Linked DNA regions of Caenorhabditis elegans. The protein of the gene in region 2 purifies or fractionates together with the protein of the main gene of each other region. This does not show direct contact. Each region holds a gene or a part of one and is shown on either strand. Other genes may lie near its edges.

The links.
Region 1: the proteins of F21A3.3 (region 2) and F59A6.12 fractionate together in Caenorhabditis elegans (co-fractionation; one large-scale study listed by BioGRID). This does not show direct contact.

What each region holds. Positions count from the first base shown.
Region 1 is NC_003280.10:5,010,822-5,013,949, reverse strand, and holds F59A6.12 (C6 domain-containing protein), read left to right. Parts: upstream 1-1,871; 5' UTR 1,872-1,893; coding exon 1,894-1,951; intron 1,952-2,000; coding exon 2,001-2,176; intron 2,177-2,218; coding exon 2,219-2,362; 3' UTR 2,363-2,427; downstream 2,428-3,128. Other genes in the region: F59A6.3 (Sushi domain-containing protein), read right to left, coding at 2,771-2,808, 2,859-3,128.
Region 2 is NC_003283.11:15,515,941-15,520,181, reverse strand, and holds F21A3.3 (EGF-like domain-containing protein), read right to left. Parts: upstream 2,470-4,241; 5' UTR 2,467-2,469; coding exon 2,391-2,466; intron 2,348-2,390; coding exon 2,228-2,347; intron 2,185-2,227; coding exon 2,050-2,184; intron 1,921-2,049; coding exon 1,836-1,920; intron 1,784-1,835; coding exon 1,691-1,783; intron 1,538-1,690; coding exon 1,386-1,537; intron 1,030-1,385; coding exon 831-1,029; intron 709-830; coding exon 636-708; 3' UTR 630-635; coding exon of another isoform or gene 585-629; 3' UTR 509-584; downstream 1-508. Other genes in the region: lgc-31 (Neur_chan_memb domain-containing protein), read left to right, coding at 427-508, 585-629, 3,183-3,292.

The DNA.
Region 1 (3,128 bases), on a different chromosome or scaffold from region 2:
AGGTGGAAGATGTTGGGGAAATATATAAGACCCTGAAAATAAAATCACCTGAAATCTTCAAAAGTTAAATTGAATCAAAAATTGAGTTTTTATTTTTGGTTATTTTTTTGCTGAGAATTTCGTTGAATATCATGGTAAGGATTTGGATTTTGAAAATTCAAAATGTGTTATCAACCCAAAGATCAGTTCCTGAAAAAAGGAGATGTTTGAAAAACAAACGTTTACAAACAGGAAAAAGGTCATATTAATATCCGATTAAATTTTTGCCTTGAACTTTAAAACTACTTTGGAACTTATAACTAAACTTCCGTCAAATTGAAGATATGAAATGAGATGCTTTCTTGTCGGAATATTCAAAAAATTTGAAAAATATCTAGTGAAACATTTTTTAGAGATTTTTGATAGGGCCGAACAGAGTAAGATGGGTTTTTCATGTTTTTTCATGCATAGTTATGCTGAAGCCAAAGACCTGTGCGGCAATAGATTAAAAATATATTTTCAAAATCATTCCTAAAATTTAACTCTTTCACGGATTTTAAAAATCATTAAATTAATTTATTAACTTTCTGAACTTTATGTGACGTGGCTATTGTAAAGATCTGGGACAAAGATAAGAGAGAAATTTGCTATAAATTGAGCAGAGTTTACCATAATCTTCACTGTAAGTTTCCACACTCTACAAAGAAGTCGCCAGTGCCCAATCCGTCCCACCAGGAGATATCCAGACCCAGCCGGGTACGAAGATCGTCTTCAATGCACCATACGATGACAAGCACACCTACCACATCAAGGTGATCAACTCCTCGGCTCGCCGTATTGGATACGGTATCAAGACCACCAATATGAAGAGACTTGGAGTTGATCCACCATGTGGAGTTTTGGACCCAAAGGAAGCAGTCCTTCTTGCTGTTTCCTGTGATGCCTTCGCCTTTGGACAGTAGGACACTAACAACGACCGTATTACTGTTGAGTGGACCAACACCCCGGATGGAGCTGCAAAGCAATTCCGCCGTGAATGGTTCCAAGGAGACGGTATGGTTCGTCGCAAGAACCTTCCAATTGAGTACAACCCATAGAGCCCTCTTCGACCTTGCTCAATAAATGAATTTTGAAAGCTCGTTGTTTTTTCTCTTGTTAAAAATGTTTAGGTTTAAAAGTGCACCAAATTTGGTGGAGGTAGAGGTCCACTCCCAACCGAGTTCAACCCAAAGAAGGCTTGATAAGAAAACCCTCGAGTACAATCCATAGAGCCCTGCTTGATCTTATTTAATGAATGAATTTTGCAAGTTTCATTCTTTTGCTCTCTTCAAAATTTCAGCTTTTAAAACGTTTTCAAATGGTTTACATTTAACCCACAAGAGGCCGCTTGATATCTCTTCTCTGTTCATTGGCAAAGGCATAATACAATGACTTGAATCCTCTTTGTCTAAACTTGGTATATCCGATTGTGTGTTGGAAACGAGGTGTGGTCGGTTTGTTATGTATGACTTACGACCACTGGACGCAAAAGGTTTTATAATGCTCACCGATTTGCAGCAGCAGGTGCGGCGAGATTTCCTTCAAATTCATGATATGGAAAAATGCATTCCGATTAATTACTTGTATGATTTCGCAAAAAAATATGCTTACAGTAAAGAGCACTTGTATAAACAGAACTCCAATTTTGTTTTGAGGAAAGTTTGAATTTATGTATGTTTTAAAAATTTTCAGTATGGAAAGTTCAACTTTGTTTTTCCGTTGAATTTCTGTTCAATCTGTTCGTTTCAATAATTTTCATTTGAACACGATTAGTCATCGCTGTGCGTCAGCTTTTTTTGTTTCAAATTCCATAATAGAATGTGTTCAAATAGATGCTATAAAACCAAAATTTTGAAGAAAATTCACTGCAAAAACATGAATTATTTATTCGCTTTGGTTCTGTTACCACTTCCTGTTTCAATTTTGGGAAAAAGTAGGAAACATAAAAACATTTTTAATTTAACTATATCTATTAGTTCCAGAATGTTGCCAATTCCCGGCTTATTCATTTTCCGCTATGACAAATGTTACAAAAGAAGACTTTAAATGTTCTGAACCAGTTTCAGTGCTTTGTCAAATTGACACTAATGGGAGTGGATATGTTGCAGTTGGAATTTCTGGAAATTTAACGGAACAGGCAGATACAAAGCCTTTAGTCGTGAGAAAACTTTTTTGAATTTTAAAAATATACTTTTTCGAGATCAAAAAAGGTTCATCTTCAATCTCGGCGTCTCTTGTATGCGACACTTCTTCTCAAATGTGGAAAGTTGATAAGAAATCCGATAAATATGACAATATTGGTTGTATCATGAGATCTACTGGCGGAGTTTGGATTGTTTATTGAGTATTTGGAATAAAATATATTTTTCTTTCAAAAATAGGAAAATGAGTAATAAAATAAATACTAAACTTCACAGTACATTCATTTAAAAAAAAATATTTTTCCCAAGTTTTGACTGAAATTTATGAAGAAAAAACCATTAATTGGAACCGAAATGCATAATGATTGTGTCTGAATACCCTAAAAGATCACATTTAAACATTTTTCAGAATATTTTGAACAACAAAAGTGCACTACAAGTTACTTGCCTTTAAGTTGACCTACGCCTCTAAAATTAGGCGTTTCGGTGCCTAAGCTAAATAAATATTTTACCGATGTATTCAATATATTCACAAACTTTAATTGTCAAGTTTCTCAGAGTAACACAAATTAATTTATTTCCGGACATAGATTTAAAATTTTAACAAATCATTAAAGTCTTGTTGGCAATTTTAGTTCACTCTTTCCATCTGAAAAAGTCACACATTTGTTTTTAAACAATTTATACTTCAAAACTTACAAATACAATTCTCTGGTGATCCTGCCCATTTTCCTGTTTTCAAGCACTTATAGATCTTCACAGGTTGCAGTGCAATTTCAAAAACATAAGATTGCGGGCAAACTTGAGTGATGAGCTCTCCGACAGAATAACTGCTTTTGATTTGTGAAGAAGTTGGACTGGAAGTGTAGGTCAAGTTCAGGGATGGTTCGATGCAAGTGATAGAGGAATTTGTGTTGTTGTAAGAAACTGTGAATGTTGATGGTGATGTTGATGAATCAGAAGATCCAG
Region 2 (4,241 bases):
TCAAAATCTCTTCATAGACTCTATTCCTATCTCTAGTAGAACTCCTTCACTAAAAAAACCATCGACAAGAGAGTTCGGCTTCTGGTGAAAAATTAAATTAAGCCCCTCTCAATTCCTTTTTAGCAAATAGTTTCTTGCGCGCCACCGAATTCAATTGTTCCGTGGTCCGGAGAAAGTGGTAATGAAAATGGATTTTCAATGAGAGAATGCACTGGAGTGTGTGGCACAAAGTTCTAAATTTGATTATGTATATACAGTACGGTTTTTCTGCAAAAAAGATGACCTAGATAAGGGACTTTTGAACTTCGTGGCCGACACCTCGCGGGTTTTTAACTTCCACTGCAATCCTACGCAACCCGTGCGGTGTCGCATGCCCCGTAACAAAAATGTCTTCCTGATCAATTTTTACACCTGCAAAACTTTCAGAAAAGGCACACGTCCAGTGACCCATCCGAAAAAGGTGATCTCAGTTTCGATGAGCGTATTCCTGTATCAAATCGTTAAGCTGGTAAGTTTTTATTTCGAATTTCTACAACAACAAAAAATCAATAATAAAATAGACCCGTTTCAATAAATCATTTCAGGACGCCGTCAAGAACACCATCAGTCTGTCGGGCAGCTTTGAGTTGGTGAGTTTACAGGGACTTTCGCTTTTTCTCAACGGGTGTCGGGATAAGATCCGTCATGTAGTTGAACACTTTTTTGTACCTGGAAAATTGAGGTTGATCTCGAGCAAGTGTATTTTAATGTGCAGAAAACGTGGCAAAAGAATTTTACAAAAATATGACGTCATTAGATTTGCCGCGCTTTCTCAAGATCATACGGTAAACCTTTTCAACCATTTGGTTGTAACTCCACGGCCATCAACCATCACAACCCGTTCTTCCAAAGAGTTGGCATTTATCAAATTGAACATTCTCTTTGACTTGACAATTTCGTCTCGGAACACTCCAGCCATTCCCTTCTTATATTTGGTTTCCAATCGGATTTGGGTACCGCGCACAGTTCCTTCCTCGATGAGCATTAGACCTGAAGAAATTTGTAGCTCAAGTGGGTGGTGAAGAAAATGGTCTGCGTCTCGTGTCGCCGAAAATTTTGGGATTCTCGGCTAATAACACTAGCCGGCAAATGACACTCCTGACATCCTAGTGTGCTCCTTTAGGAACCTAGATTGCCCATCGGCTTGGTCATCTTATCCGCGACCCTAGAATCAATGACAGCGGTAGCGCTAGCTTTCTGTTTCATTATACCCCCTCTTTGTTACATAGTTCTAGAAAGGTGACAAAGCTTGACAGAAAGTTGAGACCATAGACCACTTGCCGAGACCTGGGTCGCTATGCCGTGGGTTAGCGAGAACAATTCCGCAGCGTAAAATTAACCGTTACCTGTATTAGTCACAAGCTCAATCGACACCAAATCGTCCCCTTCGTCCGGTTTGTTCAACTCCACAAAACCCGTATCCTCGTGGAAAGGTTTAGACGTCAAAAATCCGAATTCCACGTGGACATCGGTCCCATCAAGCGTCTCGGCTCGCACTCTACAAGTTGTAGGTTGTTATTCATCGGGGCGCATTTGCATACATCCCATCAAAAATGCCAAAACCTCAAAGCTCAAAACCCTTGAACAACAAACAAAACAAGTAAAATATCGAATAACATCACACGATAGACATAAAATTTTTCTGACTTACGAAATATTAACCGGCGGTCTGTCAAAAGAGGGAACTTCCGAAATTTGAACGTCCAAGATTTCCTTGTAAGGTCCGGACATTGGCTCCGGAAATCTAAAAGTTTATAGAACATATGCCAACCTATTCAAAAATTATTCTTATTTACCTATGATGAGCACTTGTCTTTGACTCCCATCTGCCCACAAACCACTCAATGTTGTCGAGAATTGGTGGAAGAGCGAGCGCCAGCTCTGGAAAAAACAAGAATATCTTGGGGTCCAAAAGAGCTATCAAAAAGTTGTCAACTGATAAAGTGTTTAGCATAAAATTTCCTACATTTTGTCAGTGGACAACATTTTGTGAGGAATGACAAAACTCACGCTTTCCGTTATTTTTGCATTGGCCGCAGGACAAAGCACAGTTGTCAGCGAAAAATGGAGAAATCGGCCGCGTCCAGTGACAGCGTTCTTCTGACTTCCACCGAGCACAACTTTTGTAGACATCTTGGCATGGTCCTAAAAAATTGGGTTTTTGGGTCTCGACGCGAAAACTGGTTACTTTGACATCTTCTACCCATAAGTCCAAATGGGCATTCACACCGATTTCCTAGTGACAATTCCATGCACTTTCCGCCGGGACCACACGAATTCGGTTCGGACGGAGAGCAAAAATCGATTACTGAAAATTTCCGAATTGATGTGCCGCAGAATGCGAAACTTACTTGTTTTTGTCATGGTCTGTGAATAGGTACATACGGCTAAAGAAGATAAAAATAAAACTAGGTTTATCCTGGTCATGGTCTGCAATGTTTGAGGGGTCATTAGATCCATAAAGCAAAAAGGAGGGGAAAGGGGGGAGGGGGGAAAAGTGAGAATACAATAATAAATAAAAAGATGCGCAAATGCCAAAACGACACGATGCCAAACGCCGATAGTAATGAGAAATACACACGAAAGTGAGAATAAACACACGCGCATATACAAGTGGACAATTCCATTTGAAGGACGCGCCTGTTTCCTCAAAAGCATGTCAAACGAAAAAAGTAGGTCCTGGCCGGGTTCGAACCGGCGACCTTCTGTGTATGAAGCAGACGTGATAACCACTACAGGACCCGCCGAAATTCGGCTGTTGAGGGGTTCAACACACACAGAGGGGTTCAACAAATTAGCATGACCGTAATAAGCTACTCAAAAAATGAGGTACATCGAAAACGATGATTTGGGAATAAAAATGGAAATTGGCGAAAAGGAAGGAGAATATTGAAGGTCGTTCAAGACCAGTTGACACAAGTACTTGATAAGGGAAGGCCAACACATCGAGGAAGTTAAGAGGGGGCGGGTTGGGGGCCAAATGTAATGTTACAGCAGTTTGTGGCGGTAGAAAACTGCAAAAATAGATCTCACTGGAACCGAGGGAACTGAAAAAGTTTGCATAGGACACAAGAACTTATCCGACGTGGCCCGCAAAACGTCGGCTGCGCGCTACTATCTATTTTAATATACGATCATTGCAGTACTGGGAAGACGAATTCTTGAAGTGGAACCCGTCGAGCTACGAGGGAGCCGAAGAGATTTTCCTGTCGAGTTCCGATATTTGGATCCCCGAATTTTCGTTGTACTACAGGTGATTTAATGAGTACAGACAAAAAATGAACACTTAATAAAAGTGAGAGTGAAAGGGAAAATAAGTGAGAGAATAGTAAAAAATGATGGGTGGAAATTGAGGAACGTAAGTAGGAACGGAGAAGAGATAATGATCGAAAATCGTCAAAACTCCTCTGCAGAAATCGAACCATTGACTTTCTGGGCCTGAGCCATCCGTGTTCACCACTGCGCCATTTGAGCGCGCGGACCGGAATTTTAGTTGGCACGAAAGGTCAAAGTTTCGCGAACTTTTCTTTCTCTTTTACACTGTTCGAGTATCTAAATTAGCTTCTCGTCACTTTTTTTCTCTCGCGAACAGCAGATAAAAACACATAAATCTCATTGTACTAATCACTTTTTTTTATTATCCTATCTCTATTATCGCCTAAGATTTTATTATGTGTAAGAAAAAAAAATTATTTCTAGAAAAAAATCGAACCCATTGTAAACTGTATAGCAAACTGTATAGCTTGCTACAATAGAATTTTTAAAAATACGTTAAAAAAGCCAATTTTGAGAGATGTTAGGTCCTGGCACGAGCGAAACTTTTCGGCTATCGTAGCCATGATTTAAAGGCGCACGCATTTATTCGGATGGGTCTCGCTGCGAAAAAGCTTACGGTAGTTTTTTTTTTCTGAAATGGCTTCTTTTGGAAAATGACAAATAAAAAACTGAAAAAAACTTAGCGAATATCAAGAATTCTCAGAAACTTGTAATTCACAGTTAGCACGAATAAATTTCCAAAAATAGAAATCAACACTCTATGCGCCTTTAAATGTTCAATATTTTGAGTTAGAGCACAGTTTAAGACTTCTATGGAGTGATAGAGAGACGCAGACATACAAATCCTACTGAAAACTGCGACTGAAGCATATGAGGGACATTGAGAATTACGAAGAACACGTTCCAGCGGCGAAGACCTGTGGGCT